Macaca mulatta: one gene and its partners. The protein of the gene in region 3 interacts with the protein of the main gene of each other region in a pairwise test. Links are inferred from orthologs where the notes say so. Each region holds a gene or a part of one and is shown on either strand. Other genes may lie near its edges.

Region 1 (5,680 bases), on a different chromosome or scaffold from region 3:
CCCTCCCGGGTTCAAGCAATTCTCCTGCCTCAGTCTCCTGAGTAGCTGGGACTACAGGCGCCTGCTACCACGTCCAGCTTAATTTTCATATTTTTTTTGTAGAGACAGGGTTTCACCATATTGGCCAGGCCGGTCTCAAACTCCTGATCTTGTCATCTGCCCACCTCAGCCTCCCAAAGTGTTGGGATTACAGTTATGAGCCACCGCGCCTGGCTGATACACTATTTTTAAAACTCTGTTCATAAGTTTGATAAACAGGAGCTGGTGAAAACCACTGCAGTATTTGATGATTATGGCATGTCTCTTACTTTGTGTTTAAGACGTCGGAAAAGGGCCCGGCACGGTGGCTCACGCCTGTAATCCCAGCACTTTGGGAGGCCGAGGCGGGAGGTTCACCTGAGGTCAGGAGTTTGAGAACAGCCTGGCCAACATGGCAAAACCCTGTCTCTACTAAAACTACAAAAATTAGCTGGGTGTGGTGGTGAGTACCTGTAATCCCAGCTATTCGAGAGGCTGAGGCAGGAGTATCACTTGAATCCGTGAGGCAGAGGTTGCAGTGAGCCAAGATCGTGCCACTGCACTCCAGCCTGGGTGACAAGAGCAAAACTCCATCTCAGAAAACAAACAAAACAAAACAGATGTGGGAAAAGAAAGAAAAAACATTTTTTCCTACTGTCGGTTAATTAATTTTATTTTATTCATTTGTTTTTGAGATGGAGTCTTGCCCTGTCACCCATCCTGGAGTGTAGTGGCACAATCTCAGTTCACTAAAACCTTCACTTCCCAGGCTCAAGCAATTCTCCTGCCTCAGCTTCTTGAGTAGCTGGGATTACAGGTGTCCGCCACCACGCCCAGCTAATTTTTCTATTTTTTTTTGTAGAGATGGGGTTTCACCATGTTGGCCAGGCTGGTCTCAAACTCCTGGCCTCAAGTGATCTGCCCACTCCGGTTTCCAAAGTGCTGGGATTACAGGAGTGAGCCACCGCACCCAGCTTGCCAATTAATTTACTTTTGCTTCGGAGTTACACAGGTCATCATCAGCCCCAGTGTCCCTGGTCTCTCATGAATGGTGACCACACAAATTCATATCATCTGGCCGTTTCTTCAGCCTATCCTTGGCATGTTCTGGCATTGGCCTATCTCAACAAGCCATCTACTTAATATTCAAATCAAAATGAAAACAGCTCAGAGACGGTATACTGCTCGGTACCAGTCAGTGTGGACATCCCAAGGGTCTGCTAAGCACCCACATTTCTCAAAGTTAATGTTACCAAGTTTTAAATTATACAAAACATGCCTGCCATGAAGCAATGAAGTTCCCAGCAAAACTCACACAATAACTCAGAACTTAAAAGTGAATCCTAGGCCGGGCACGGTGACTCACGCCTGTAATCCCAGCACTTTGGGAGGCTGAGGCAGGTGGATCGTGAGGTCAGGAGTTCAAGACCAGCCTGGCCAAGATGGTGAAACCCCCATCTCTACTAAAACTGCAAAAATTAGCTGGGAGTGGTGGCAGGCTCCTGTAATCCCAGCTACTCTGGAGGCTGAGGCAGGAGAATCGCTTGAACCCCAGCAGCAGAGGTTGCTGTGAGCTGAGATCAGGCAACTGCACTCCAGCCTGAGCGACAGAGGGAGACTCCATCTCAAAAAAAAAAAAAAAAAAAAAAAAAAAAGTGAACCCATGCACATGTATCTTACTTTCAGTCTGAAAATGTATCTAACCTTGCATCACAAAGTAATAACCCCCAGATTGCTGGTCTGTAGTACAACAACAGTAAACACTGAAAACACTTAAATATTTCCATCTGGAAACAGTAAATTAAACCTTCTACTTACCTGTGGTGACAGCTTCTCAGTTCTGAGCTTGTCTTGCCACAAACTGTGAGTCCACAGAGCAGACGGGGCCCTGAGCTTCAGCCTGGCAGTAAGAAGGTGAAGGAGGAAGTGATTACGCTATGTTCTCTGAATGCCCCCCAACTCTTCACCTTGGAAGAGGAAAGTCATCCCGACCCTGCCCAGCAACGACAGGGGGTGTCACAGGGTCCTTCTCAGTAAAACCCCGTGTCCTTGCCCTGACCCAGTTCCTCAAGCCACCCTTATCCCAAGGAGGCTGGGAGAGGAGGGGCCTCCCTGGTTTCCTGGCAGGGGTCGGCGGGGGCGGCGGGGGCTGACGTGGTCGTGCAGCCCCGGAGGTCCCACGAAGCCCAGGGCGTTGGACAACTGTGGGTTTTTCTTGGAAGGAATCCTGACACTTGGAGCACACTTCCTCTCTTTTAACTTTTAAGAAAGGCTTCAGAAAAGCACAGGCGTGCAGTTGTGCCCTGTTAGTTGGGGTGAGTGAGGGGACAGAGCCGACCCTCCGGACTTCCACTAGCACCACCCCGCGCCCCTCCGGCTTCACCCGCACCACGCGGGCCGCGCAGCGCGGGACTCCGGAAAGACCTGGGCGCCCGACCCGCAGCCCGACCCGCAGCGGCCCCGACCGGCAGCGACGTGGCGCGGCTTCCGCAGAGAAGCCACCCGGCCCAGCACAGCCTGTCTGGGGTCGCCCCGCCGCGTTGGGGCACAAAGTGGGAACCGTTCCTCAAAGGTGGCCGCAGCTGGAAGAACAAACACGCGCGTCTCCGTCCGACGGCAGCAGCCGGGCGCACCCACCCAGGGTCGGTCTGTCCGGGGCCCGGGTTTCCTCGCCTCGGGGATCCCTGGAGGTCTCGGAAAGCACCCTCTGAGTCGGGGACGCCCCAGCTCCACCGCGCCGAGGGAAGGGCAAGCCCCGATGTCCCTGCCCGTGGGCCCTCCCTCCCAGGGGACAACCCGAAGACCCAGAGTCGCTGCGGTCCCCAGACCCGACCTCCGCGCAGCGCCAAGCCCCAGGGACAGCCGCGGACTCTGGGGTTCCGGGCAGGCCCCCAGCGCTAGGAGGGAGGCCGAGCTGGGCCCCGGGATCCCTTGCACGAGTCCTCGGTGTGTGTCCTCGCTCCTAGCCCTCAGGTCTCCAGCCGCGCACCCCGGGCCCTCAGGTCCCCGGGACCCCGAGACCCCTGGCCCCGCGCATGCGCCGCCCACCCTCTGCCCTTCCCCCGTCCGCCGCCCTCCGGGTCCCGGGACCGGGAACGCACGGCCCGCGGACCCCTGCGCGCGTGCCCGCCCGCCCGCCCCCGGGCACCTGGGCCGCGGTCCGCCGCCTGCCGGTCCGTGGGGCGAACGCCCAAGGAGGCGGCGCCGGGCAGGGCGCTAGCGGCCGCCTCCGCCCCCGCCGCCCGCTGCCCCCGCCGCGGGGCCGCCGCGTCCACGGCCCATGCTCGGCGCCGCCTCCGCGCGTCCGTGCCAGCCGCGCCCCCGCGACACGCACCGCCCCTTGGCCCGCCCCCCGCCCCGGTCCGCTCGGGCGAGTGTCCCGAGGCCCGACCCGGAAGCCCCGCCCGCCCAGCGCGCCCTCCGGGCCCCAGGCCGCGGCCCCGGGACACACCCCCCGGACGGCGGCGCCCGATTGGCTGATCGAGGTGGGCGGGGCCCCGGGAGCGCTCAGCGGCTCCCACCTAGCGCCTCGCGGTCGCTGCAGCCAAGGGAAACTGAGGCCGGAGAGGTGGAGGGGCTGTCCAAGGTGACCGACGGGACACCGCTGAGCGTCGGCGCCCCTCCAGCCCGAGGCACCAGGGTGGGGCTGAATTCTAGGCGTGGACACGCCGCGGGGCGGGTGGAGGTTCTCGCCGGTCGCCAGTGCCACGCTGGCGAGCCCCTCCTGCCTTCTCGATGAGCCCGGCTGTGCCGCTCTGTGCGATAAGCCGGTCTAGACCCGGGACCCGGGACCGGGTGCTCTTGAGTCTCAGAAGTGCGTGGGGTGGGAGGCGGCCCGGGAAGGACCTTGTCCCTGGAACCCCAGGATGCAAAATAAGGAGAAGGGGAAGGCGAGCTGGGAGGACAAGGAAACAGGTGGCGAGAGGTGCCAGGGCGGTGTGGCGGGCGGGGGAACGAGGAGGGTGAAGGGCAACGCGGACGGGCTCGGGGAGGCGCCGCCAACTCCGACCCCACAACCCCACCCCTCTCCAGCAACCCGAGACCCATGCCCGCCCCCTACTCCATGCGCTGGGGGGTGAGGGACTGACTTTGTGCCCACGTAAGGCACTGGGACTCTGCCAGCGCAGGGGGAGGTCGCGGCCTGGCGGCCAATGGCGAGGAGTAGGAGAGCGCCCTGCAAAGCCGCTTTGTTCGCGCCGTGACGCCCGAGCTCCCCGCGCGGAATGCACAAACCCCCTTGGTGCCGGCACATCAGGGCGCCCATCCTTGGGAACGCAATGTGTGCTATGCCCGCCCCACTGCCTGCCCTCCACTGCCAGCTGCGCCTGCCACTGTGCTATTTGTGGCAGCCGGCGCCCAGGAGGACCCACTCCGGAAAGGAAACACAAATCTCATTAGGCAGGGGAACTGGAGACCAGGTGGGAACTGGCCCTTTCACAAACTTCTCTTAAACTCACCCTAGTTGATTAGCCAGGCACCTGTGGTGAACTTTGTCCCACCCTCCAGACACCCATATATCCTTCCCACTGGCACACCGCAGCCTCACCTTCTCTTGCACATGCTAGCCAGCAATAGCTAAGATCTATGTTATGTTTCAGAGTTTACAGGGTGATCCGCACACGTAATATCCTGGATATCTCGCGGGGGGTGCAGGCAGCCACATCCACGCTTGTCATCCTGCTGTGTTTGGTGAGGGAAGCTGACACTCCGCAGCCCACGCAGAGCTCAGGGGCTATATCCTCATGAGGACCTCTGGGCTCAAAGATATTACCTGGTGTCCCCATATCCCAGGCTCTCAAGGACCAGGGTCCACACAGGTGTGTTGGCTTCTTTTCCCAGATGCACCACCCAGGTCAACCAGGTGTTGAAAGACCTGGTGAACCTTCTCATGAACAAGGACAAAGGCTGTGTGGGGGTCTGTAGAGTGGTCATTTACACTCAGCAGACACAGAAAACTGATATTCTTGGGTTTTTGGGGCTCCCAAGGTTTTAGGGAGAGAAAACTTGTTTTTCATCCATGTGTCCCAGAAATAAGCATTTTCAATCAAATGCTGTCAGCCAGTCTCCCGCAGGCGTCCCGAGGGTAGAAGCAAGTTCAGGACTCTTCTCTTGGGCCAGAAACAGCCCCGCATCCACTGCCTCCCAGGGGTGGTAGGTTTCTTTTGGGAAACCACGCTCAGATGAGAGAGATGAAGCAATTTTCTGTTGGCCTCGAAGACCTTGTCACACACCCAGCATGGGAGCAACTGTCACAAAGGGCACACCGCCACCCCCACTCCCAGCTCCAGAAAGTCTCTCTTTACCTTCTTCAGTGCTGATGAAATGAGGAACAGAAACACCGCTGGCGCAGGGACTGAGTAGAAATCTGTAACTCTGAGGACAAATCAGTGCTCTTGAAAATGCCTCTGAGTGCCACCTGAGTTTCCGCTCTGGAGCCTTAGTGACTGCTGGGAGCATCTGGTGCATGAGGATCTTAGTTCATAGCTACCATTTATGTGGTGACAATGCCATCTCAGGTTCCGTTTTGCATTTTCTGATCTGGAAGATGTTCTGAGGGTAATTATTACTGCGCCCACATTACCAGATGGAGACTGAGGCACAGAGAAGCCCCGTCTGCACCGGGTCCCCCAGGCCAGTGGCAGGGCGCAGGACGGAAGGCAGG
Region 2 (5,583 bases), on a different chromosome or scaffold from region 3:
TAAGATCTACACTGTCCTGAAGCCTTTCCTCAGGAACTCTTTTATGAGCCTCTCTTACTGCAGGCCTTGCCTTAGCCTCTGTTGCTTTAGGCTGTTCTTTATCATCTGCCTTTACCTGGGGGGCTTCTTTAGGATCTTCTTTTACTTCAGGGGTTGCCTCCATACAGTCTGCTTTAGAATCTGCTTTTTCTTCAGCCTTTATCTCAGGGATTTCTTTAGGAACTTCCTTTTCTTCATCTTTTACCTCAGGAATTTCTTTAGGAACTTCCTTCTCTTCAGCTTTCACCTCTGGGTTTTCTTTAGGGGTTTCTTCTTCCTCACCCTCTAAGGGAGGCATTTCACTAGGGGTGTTATCCTGCACCTCCTCATCACTGCTGAACTCCTCATCCTCTGAATTCCATTCACATTCTTCTTCTGTAGGCTCGTATTCTGCATTGATGATTTGAAACCGCCTATCATATAGAGGCTTGTTGAGTTCAGCATATTTTCTTTCAAGATCATGAATTGCTTTTAAGAACAGGGTGTCTACCTTGTCACATTCTTCTTGAATGTTTCTAAGCGCTTGCACACGATTTCTAACTGCCTGAGGCAGCCTATCCACGAAATTTGTTCCCAAGGGGGCCCGCCGCGCCCTGCTGGAAGGCTCAGGTACCCTCTTCTTTCTATATAAGCGGCTGCGGCTGCTAGTGCTGCCGCTGCTGCTGCTGCTGCCGCTGCCGCTGCTGCTGCTGCTGCTGCCACTACTGCTGCTGCCGCTGCTGCTGCCACTAGTGCTGCTGCTAGAGCTACTGCTGTCAGATTCTTCCCCAGAATCACTAGTCGAGCTAGCCATCTCCTCTTCGGCAACCCCATGGGCGACGGGTTCCGAGACCATTTTAAAATCTGCTTCTGCCATCTTGCAAGCCTGAAAAACTCTACCGCGGAGACCGCGCGACCAGAGATGGGCAGAAAATGACTCACGGATGCTTGAGTGGCGGCGGCGGAGGCCCGGGCTGCGGAGGTGGCAGCGGCGATGGCAGCAGCGGCGCAGAGCGGAGCTGGAGCTGGGGATGCAGAGGCCGGCGCTGAGGTGGCAGCGGCAGTGGAGGCCTGGGCGACAGCGGTGGCGGCAAGGCCTCTCCCGGCTGCAGCTACACAGTGCCGAGATGTACCGCAGCCGAATGGCGCAGTATGAGACCCCGAGATCTCTTCTCGTTTTAGATCGCGAGCCCCCTCCCCTCGCAGTCAGACCTCCCGTTAATTTCGTTCCCAGTGTGCCTTTAGTTCGCTCCTCATTTGCTGGTCCACCTTAATTGACAAACCGTACGCCCAACGAACGGCCAAACGCCACTACTCCTGGCTCCGCCCACCTTCCCAGACGCTGCTCGCCGGCTGAGGTGCGACCCCCTGGAAGGTGTCCCCGAGCCCCCCAAAAAGTCTATATTTATAGTTTTATAATTAAAAGAGGAAAAAAAAGCGTAGACATGAGGTAAAAATACCAGCCATAGTTCCTAACAAGGGCAGAAGAGGCGTGTCTTCCTTCTCCCATCCGCCCATCCTGAATTCCCGTTTAGTTTGTCACGGGTCTCTTGACAAAAATCTGTAAAAGAAAAAAAAAAAAAAAATTGAATGAAAATGGTCCAAATGGCGTCATTGGGTAGTGTGACTGTGGACGATTTAAAAACAAAACGATTTTCTCTAAATATTCTATGAGCAGTATTTTTACACTGGATAAAAAAGGGGAGAGTCGGTTATTGGCAGAGGGGGGAGGGACTAGACAGCAGGCGTATTGCATTCCACGAAGCTGATTTAATAAGTGCTGTCTGTGATGTTTGGCAAGCCTGGTTTATATCCATCTACAAGGTTTGCGAACCCATGTTGCCGTGAGTCAGTTACACCATTTTTATTATATTTCTCTTTTTAGGCTGGCATATTATATACCCCAACCTTGCTGCTAACTTGCCACGTAGCCCTTCTCAATGCTTGCAACAACCTTGTAGATAAAACAATGAGTGTATTAAATGTTAGGTAGTATTGTTAAAAAGCAAATGATTTGCGTTATACTTTTGTGCAGCAGGTTTCAATTCCAAGAACAGTGGGATGGGAGGGGGAATTTGTGCTAATGAATGTGCATCTTCTGTCAGTGTATGCGATGTCATCTGCCACCAATTTCCTTCTAATGTTGTAAAATTCTAGCCATACTATAGTATGATTTACAAGTCCAGTAATATGTGAATAAACTTTTGCAAAATGAAGTTTAAAAACGGGTATTTGTTATTTTTATTTACAGGATTTTTTTTTTCTGCTACAGAACAACTACCTTGGTACAATAAAAAAGACGAGTATTTACTTTTCATTGAAAGGTAAGGATCATATTTAGCACATTTTAAAGAATGACAAAAATTACTCATCTCCATCTGAATAAAAGTTTACAGGATGCAGTCATTTAGAGATTTATTTTAGATAATAATCTTGATAATTCTATGGAAACAGGAAAATCCACAGAGGTAATTTGGCATACTAATGTAGACAATAGCCTACTTAACCACATTAACTATCTTAACCTGGTCATAGAATACAAGTTGTAAATTAAAATATGAAATATGATAAATTATTCATTTCAAATGAGGAACTGTATTAAAGTTAGATTAATCTTTATAGAATTTGTGCTTTGTCATGTAGTCACGTTTTTAAAAGTTATGAAATGCTTTTCTGTCTCATAAATGCATTTACTTTTATTGTATATCTCTAATTGTCAAAGTCTGTGAACATTGCAAAGATAAAACCTCAATACAGAAAATTCCAACAGTAGTAAAAACACACAATCTTAACCACCAAATGATAAGAATTACTAGCATTTTGATGCACTTCCTTCTAGAAATTTCCTTGTGCATATACATACCTGCCTATTTATGTATACTGCTTTATCTATGTGATACCATATTATGTTTTGTAGTCTTTTCATTTAATTTATCAGTTACTAATGGCTATATTTTCATGGCAAATGATCAACATCTTATTTTTAAATAAGTGCATATTCCATGGAAATAATTGCCTTAATTTATTTGAACAGATTCCTCTTATAGGGTGGCTATTTCTATACCATCTCTCCCCTTATATACATATTATTTTCCTGCTATAATAAAAGTGTCCCTGGATACCTAAAGCATATATTTCTATGCACTTCTGAAAATTGGTCATAAGATAAATTCCTAGAAATGAATGGCCTGGGAATGATCATTTCATATTATGGAATTATTATTGTATACATATTGCCAAACTCTCTGCAGAATGATTATCACAATTTACAGTTCCAACAGTGCATAAAGGTTCATTTTTTTTGTCATTCAGCTAATATATTTTTGTGCCTGTCGTATGCTGGGCAAATGTGGTAGAGAATTGTAGTATAATGGTGAATGAAACTTACTAAGTGCATATCCTTTCGCTGAATAATTTTAATCAAAGCATATGTTATAGAAACAATGATTTACATCAATGGTGTTATACCATAAATATTGTTCTGAGACTCACTATTTCTTTTTAAATTATGGAGATTTTACAAAAAGTATGCTCTTATGTTTTAAACTTTGTAGCATCAGGAATTAGTATTTTAGAGTGAGTCATGAGGTAGGGATCCAGATTTTTAAAATACTTATTTTTATTAGCTAGCTAATTCTTCTAGTACCATTTATTTGGTAATCTTTCTATCTCCTGCTTACTTGAAATGCTACTTTGATCACATTAAATAAATTGCTTGGGTCTGTTTCTAAATTCTTTTCTGATCCATTAGTTGCAAACAACTAATGAGTCGGTGTTAAGATAACTTTACATTTTGTGAAAATGATATGTGTTCATTGATAAAGTCAGACAATACATTGAAATACAAAGAAGAAATTAAAAGTAACTCAAAATAAAACTGAGAAGTAATCACTACTTACATTTACATTTGTAATCAACATCTCCAAATTAATTTATCAATATTAGTATTTGTATTTCTTAGATTAGTGGTAAGATTGTGTTTTCATATGTTTATGTTTATTTGAGAACTGTCTATTCATATTTTTTGTTTTCTACTGAATTAAGCAAGAAGTTAATCAATGGTGAAATCCTAAAGGTAAAATGATTTTGGCCTTGACTTACTTAAGACAACTATGATTTCTTCAGGAAATAATGCATGATATTGGGCAAATGTGACTAAATTTCATATTAAAATTGGTTGGGTTTTTTTTTTGGGGGGATGCTTGGGGGTTTTTTTGGATGCTTTTCAAGGATTACGGATAACTACTTAACCACTCACACTGATCCTGGAAAAGTTTGGAATGGAACATGGAGATGAAAAATAGAAAAAAGCTTACAAAAGCATCATATAAAAATAATGTATTAATCAACAATTGTGATTTTCAATTTGGAATTATTTTTTCCTAGATATAGGCAATGAAAATGTTGAAAGTAGATGATTTTTTCTAATCACAATTCTCTACTTTAATTGTGTATCCATAAGTATCTTGTAACACACTTTTATTTTTGTAGCTTTTTTTTGGTTGATTAGTTTATTTAATTTTATGTAGTAGGTATCTAAAATAAAATAAGCTTTTTCTTCATAATCAATTTAATTGCTGCATTATATCCTATTTGTTCTACTGTGAAATGTACATATTAGTTTTATCATATCATATGCTTATTTTTCTTAATAAGGTTATATATAAATTATTTGCATAGTGATATGTTCTTTGTTCAATTACTAGATGATTTTTTTGTGGGACGGCGGCTAAATGTTAATGCTTCTACATGAGATGATACATAACACAGAATCTGATAGTATACTCAGACTGAACATAGTACATTAACATCTGTTGATACCTCCCTTAATATGAATATACACACAATCCCTTCCACCACCCACTCCTGCCACACAAACACACAAAGTGTATAATGACACGTGTAGCAGCATTATCTTTTTTTGTAGGTATCTAAGAAGCGAAGCATTGCAAGTTCATTTATTTTTGAATGACTCTTCCTCCTGTTCTTCTTGGACAAGTTTTATCTGAATATACAAGTTAATTCTTTTTTAAAAACCATTTTATTGATGTATAATAGGCACACAACAAATGTGTCTATCTGTGAAAGTATCACCACAGACAAAATAATGAAAATTGTATCATCCCTGAAAGTTTCCTCATATGCCTTTGAATCCCTCCTCTTGTCCCTAGACAATAGCTTATCTGTTTTCTGTTCCTATAGATGAATTTGCATTTTCTAAAATTTTATATAAGTGGAATAATGTAGTATGTTCCTCTTTTTGCCTGTCTTTGCAGAATTATTTTGAAATTTACCCATGTGGTTGTGTGTATCAGGAGTTTACTTTTCCTGTTTACTGCCGAGTAATTATTCATTACTTGGCAATACTATGATTTGTTGATGGGCATTTTTGTTGTTTTGAGTTCTGGGCTACTACAAATAAGCCTGCTATGATCATTTGTATATAAGTTTTGTATGGACATATGTTTTAATTTCTTTTAGCAAAATACATAGGAGTGGAATGACTAGATCACATGGTAGGTGTATGTTTCACTTTTTAAGAAATTACCTATTTTCCAAAGTGGT
Region 3 (5,535 bases):
GTTTTTGTTCTGCTGAATGGCATGTGTAAGCTGAGGTGCTGCCACCAATAGGTTCTTCTTTTTCACCCATGCTCTTCACAGAGTTCAGCCTCTGCTCCAAATAAATGTTGAGCAAATTTGTCAATGAATATACTTTTAAGGGTTGCCAAATTATGAACATGCCCAGGGTGCCTGCAGCCTTTAGGTCTTGCCCCAAGTCTGGTATGACTCTGTAGTAAGGATGAGGACAATCTAGAATCCTTGTTCTTGCTTAGAAATGATTTTGCACATGAAGAGCACAGATTCTGAAGCTAGCAACTGAAGATTCCAGTCTTGGCGCTACCTCTTGCTAACCGTATGTAGTTGCAACTAAATCTTATCTCCCTCTGCTGTAAAATGGGGATATTGCCTCTGCATCCAAATGGATATAAAAATGTTAGGTTGAGGGAGAATTATGGGAAATAGAAAGTTTCTGTTTCAGAATTTGGCTTCCAAAGCTAGAGATGGCATGAAACCATCTCTAGGCTTGCCCATTCCCTCATGTTCCATAAAGGGCACTTACAGAGATCTTTGATACAAGCGTACTGCTGGTTGCTGTAGAGTGGGGAACTATAGGCCCGACGGAAACCAGGCGGCTGTAGGATGGGATGGGAGGAAGCATTAGAGGTAGCAAAGTAAGGTCCAGAAGCCCATCTCTCCCATGAGTGCTCACCCTTTCTCAGAAAAAGAGATGGGCTGAGAAAGAAAAAGCAGAGAAATGAATGGGATGGAGGAGGGACCAGCAAGGGGTAGCTGGTGACATGTCTCCTCCTTTCTTTTTTTTTCGCTCTGTCACCCAGGCTGGAGTGCAGTGGTGCAATCTCAGCTCACTGCAAGCTCCGCCTCCCGGGTTCACGCCATTCTCCTGCCTCAGCCTCCCGAGTAGCTGGGACTACAGGTGCCCGCCACCACGTCCGGCTAATTTTTTGTATTTTTTAGTAGAGACAGGGTTTCACTGTGTTAACCAGGATGGTCTCCATCTCCTGACCTCGTGATCCGCCTGCCTCGGCCTCCCAAAGTGCTGGGATTACAGGTGTGAGCCACTGTGCCCGTCCATGTCACCTCTTTTCTACACCTTGTTCCCCAGAGCCTACTCACGATCTTGCCGAAGCATCTCTGCATTTCCACATAGGACTGACAGTGTTCATGGATGTTGGTTTTGCAGTTCTTACAGCGAAGCCCAAACTTGTTGTTGACTTGGGAGAGGGGGAGAAAATTCAGATAAGATTCCAGATTGCCCTTTCCCTTTGTACCACTGCTGCTACTCTTAGGTTCCCTTTTCTGTCTGGGACCTTACTTGCTCAATCTCTAACAGCATTGCCTTACACCAACTCTAGCCACAGCCCATCTGCTACAAATACTCCTCTTGTATGCCCTCTCCCCAACCTCTGCCTTCAACATCATACTCTCTTCACTCCCCTTTATGACTCACGAACAATCATCCGGGCACAGACATCACAGAACTTTGGCTTCTTGAAGAAATGATCTTTGAATTTGTGGGGCTTATCGTTGACCAGCTTAGGAGGTTCTGGGAGTGGCTCCTCCTCCTCCTCTTCTTCTTCTTCCTCTTCCTCATAAATGTAGTAGATGGGCCCACCCCCAGCTCCCACTGCCTCCCCATTGGCCTGGGGCTCTGGGGGAAGTTCCATTTCCTTTGTCCCTGTAGAACCCTTCCTGAGTAACTGCTTCAGCCGCTGTAGCTGAGGGAGGGAGTGAAGAAAACCCAACGTTAAAAGGACTTGTCACCCTCTCTAGAGTAGGGGGGTGTTAGAGCAAACAGACAGTTTTCTAGTTTTGGGCAAGGAATGTACCCCAGGATTAGGCAGGTATTGGTATTGGGGACTGCAGGTGCTGGCCAGCAAAACATGAGTCACACACAAATGAGATCAATTTAAGCACTCTTCTTCAGCTGTAAAGGTTTCCTGGCCCCCCACACCCAGTGGTCACAGGCCCAGACTCACCCCGCTTTGCCGAGTCTCTGCTGGGAAAGAGGGCTTAGGGGACTCCAGCACCTCCTTTTCTGTCATCCTGCAAGAGGTTGGACCCCACTATGAAATCTAATCCCTTTCACTCTTCTCCCCCTTATTTCTGTCCCTTGCAGTAGGGCGGTACTCAAAGGGAAGGTTTTTGGAGAAACGTGATTAGAGATTTTGTTGTTGTTGAGATGGGGTTTCACTCTGTCACCCAGGTTGGAGTGCAGTGGCATGATCATGGCTCACTGCAGCCTTGACCTCCCAGCCTGAAGCAATCCCCCTACCTCAGCTTCCTGAGTAGCTGGAACACAAGGTGCACACTACCTGGCTACCTTTTTATTTTTTGTAGAGACATGGTCTTGCTTTGTTGCCTAGGCTTACCCGAACTAGCTCAAGCAATCCTCCCGTTTCAACCCCCAAAGTGTTGAGATTCCAGGCGTGAGCCACTGCACTGGGCCAAATACAGATCATTTGGCAGGTTTTATTAACAGATTTCATGGAAGTCTAGGAAAAAGCCCAACATGACCAGGCGCGGTGGTGCATGCCTGTAATCCCAGCACTTTGGGAGGCTGAGGCGGGCAGATCACTAGAGATCAGGAGTTCAAGACTAGCCTGGCCAACATGGTGAAACCCCATCTCTACTAAATATACAAAAATTAGCCGGGCGTGATGGTGGACACCAGTAATTCCATCTACTCAGGAAGCTAAGGAAGGAGAATCGCTTGAACCCAGGAGGTTGCAGTGAGCCAGAATTGTGCCACTGCCCTCCAGCCTGGGTGACAGAGCAAGACTCCATCTCAAAAAAAATAAAAAATAATAAATAAATAAATAAATCCCAACAGACTAAAGAGCTCCCCAATTAGTTCCTCAAACTGATACTCATCCTTCCATCCTGAGGGGAGACCCCATAGTTTACAGCCCTTACAGTGTTCAAGGCTGCATGGTTTATGTTATTTTCCTATAGGTACTTTGTTTCTCTTGGGAATCTGTGGGCAACAGAGATGTGATGCATACCTTCCCAGATCTCCTCTCTTCAAGAGGTTTAATGTGTGTCCTCGTGTGCGCACAAGGAAGGATGGACTGCAGACATTTGTCCTCCCCTACTTCTTTCTTGAGCCCTGGGGGCCCTGTGCCTAGTTCTGTCCCAGCCTGCCTCAGGGCTCAGCTATTTTAAGTTTTCAGGGTAATATGAGCCTTTCCTTCCCTTACTACTTCATTCCCTTTACCCCACCCCCACCCCCCCTCCAATCCTAACTCATCCTAGAGTAGAATAATAATTTTACTCCTAAAACCCAAACGACTCACAGACAAGGAAAGAAATGAAGAAGCTGAATAGATTATAGATCAGGGCAGCTGGCGTGAGCAGTCGTGGAAATCGAGAGGATGAAGAGGTAACTTACGTTTGGGATTCCCTAAATCAGTCCACAGTCTGTAGAGGGAGCTGGGAGCCCCGAGGCCTTGATGGTGGTGCTGGGGAAAAACTGGTCCTCTTCCTTGGGGGCTAAGCCCCCCCAGTACCCTGTGTTCACACCAGCTACCCAGTCGCTATTTGTAGACCTCCTAACCTCCTGCCTTGGTGTCAGGGCTGAAATGACAGGGCTGGAGGAAAGTGAACAGCTGAGAAACACAGCTGACACAGAGAAATTGGACACTGAGAGGTCTGGGGCAGGGCTGGACCCTAACTCCTCCCATCCCTCCAGAGCTGCTGTTCCTTGATTCTTCATCTAAGGTGAACAGGTGAATAATGGCCAAATTCAGCAAGGGACAGTTTCTGTTCATGCTCATATAACATTTAAAGGGAGTTTATTTTTATTTTTCATTTATTTTTTGAGACAGGGTAAAAAAAAAAAAAAAAGACTAATTCGAACGCATAGAGCTCTCCTATCAGCCATACTAGATGGCTTTCTTTTTTTTTTTTTTTTTTGAGACAGAGTCTTGCTCTTGTCACCCAGGCTGGAGTGCAATGAAGTGATCCGGACTCACTGCAACCTCCCAGGTTCAAGCGATTCTCCTGCCTCAGCCTCCTAAGCAGCTGGGATTACAGGCGCCCACCACCATGCCCAGGTAATGTTTGTATTTTTAGTAGAGACGGGGTTTCACCATGTTGGCCAGGTTGGTCTCAAACCCCTGACCTCAGGTGATCTGCCTGCCTCGGCCTTCCAAAGTGCTAGGATTACAGGCGTGGGTCACCGTGCATGGTTAGATTGCTTTTTATCTGTGGGTGGTTGGAGAAGTACTTTGCTATCCTGTAAGAAAGTGAAGAATATGTAGTATTGCTTCATTCCCTCCATCAGCTCCCAGAGACATCTCCCCACCCTCCTTCTTGCAAAATTTTGTCCTCAGGGTGAATGGAATTACCAGGGCTATTAAAAAGGGCCAGTTAACACTAGACAGAAGGATATAGCTGCCACATAAGGAATCTTTTTAATAATTTCTAAGTAATGTCCCCTTCCTCATGAGAACTGCAAACTCTTAAAGGTAGGATGGCCAACCTCACACTTCCTAAACCCTTTTGATTCCCTGATTCCATCTCCCACCTTTGATGCCTCAGTATGTAACTGATGGATCAAAGAGACAGATGCCATTCTGATCTCACAGGGGTTTACCCTTCTCCTACTCTTTGGGCTGTGACATAGATGAAAGAGGAGATACTCCCATCTCAGGGGAGAGCAATTTAGAGGTGGCAATGCAGTGCTGCTTTATTCCTTGTATCTGTAAGAAATAAAGGACTGTGTTGGAGACTGAGTCAGGCAAGCTCCTGTAGGACCATGGTTAGGGATACAGCTACTTGGACCCAAGAGATTTCCAGGGCAACATGCTTTGTCATTCTCACCCACTACTTTTTTTTTTTTTTCTATTTAAGGGTGAAGTTTGAAAAGGTGGTGCAGGATGGTTCTGACTCTGCAGGTTCTTTAATGGCCCTGCTCTGACAGACTGCAGAACAACAGGGCTTGCTTTGAGATGCTCTAAAGGAAAAGCTGCACCTTGCAGGCAAGATGACTTCTGCTCTTCCCCTTTTTTCAGCCACATAGGACAGGGACTGCTGAGCATGTTTGGATAATATAGCATCTTGGCACTGTGAATTCAGTTGCTGTAGCTTTTATTGTAATAAACATCTGCTTCTGTCCCTGACAGGTAAAACCCAATCCTCCAGCTTTAGGATTAAAGAAAGGCGGCCAGGCGCAGTGGCTCACGCCTGTAATCCCAGTACTTTGAGAGGCCGAGGTGGGTGGATCACAAGGTCAGGAGTTTGAGACCAGCCTGGCCAACATGGTGAAACCCTGTCTCAACTAAATATGCAAAAATTAGCTGGGCACAGTGGTACATGCCTGTAGTCCCAGTTACTTGGGAGGCTGAGGCAGAAGAATTGCTTGAACCTGGGAGGTGAAGGTTGCAGTGAGCCGAGATCATGCCACTGCACTCCAGCGTGGGCGACAGGGCGAGACTCAGTCTCAAAAAAAACAAAAACAAAAACAAAAACAAAAACAACCCTAAAGGGTTTTCAGAAGATGAGTTGGGCTGGGAGCAGTGGCTCATGCCTGTA

What was found.
Region 1: the proteins of STAC3 (region 3) and PPARA interact in a two-hybrid assay, tested with the Homo sapiens proteins (2 studies listed by BioGRID). The two-hybrid records come from large-scale screens. The link is inferred for Macaca mulatta from reciprocal best matches to the Homo sapiens genes STAC3 and PPARA.
Region 2: the proteins of STAC3 (region 3) and FAM133A interact in binary tests that used the Homo sapiens proteins (3 or more experiments, as listed by UniProt). The two-hybrid records come from large-scale screens. The link is inferred for Macaca mulatta from reciprocal best matches to the Homo sapiens genes STAC3 and FAM133A.

The regions. Positions count from the first base shown.
Region 1 is NC_133415.1:5,336,112-5,341,791, forward strand, and holds the start of PPARA (peroxisome proliferator-activated receptor alpha), read right to left. Parts: upstream 3,299-5,680; 5' UTR 3,167-3,298; intron 3,143-3,166; exon of another isoform or gene 2,656-3,142; intron 1,939-2,655; exon of another isoform or gene 1,919-1,938; 5' UTR 1,837-1,918; intron 1-1,836. UniProt on the Homo sapiens protein: Ligand-activated transcription factor. Key regulator of lipid metabolism. Activated by the endogenous ligand 1-palmitoyl-2-oleoyl-sn-glycerol-3-phosphocholine (16:0/18:1-GPC). Activated by oleylethanolamide, a naturally occurring lipid that regulates satiety.
Region 2 is NC_133426.1:99,944,032-99,949,614, forward strand, and holds the start of FAM133A (protein FAM133A), read left to right. Parts: upstream 1-1,758; 5' UTR 1,759-1,862; intron 1,863-2,269; 5' UTR 2,270-2,342; intron 2,343-5,583. Other genes in the region: NAP1L3 (nucleosome assembly protein 1-like 3), read right to left, coding at 1-895.
Region 3 is NC_133416.1:64,408,202-64,413,736, forward strand, and holds the start of STAC3 (SH3 and cysteine-rich domain-containing protein 3), read right to left. Parts: upstream 3,588-5,535; 5' UTR 3,392-3,587; intron 2,047-3,391; exon of another isoform or gene 2,046-2,046; coding exon of another isoform or gene 1,980-2,045; intron 1,719-1,979; coding exon of another isoform or gene 1,668-1,718; coding exon 1,451-1,667; intron 1,215-1,450; coding exon 1,117-1,214; intron 615-1,116; coding exon 542-614; intron 1-541. UniProt on the Homo sapiens protein: Required for normal excitation-contraction coupling in skeletal muscle and for normal muscle contraction in response to membrane depolarization. Required for normal Ca(2+) release from the sarcplasmic reticulum, which ultimately leads to muscle contraction.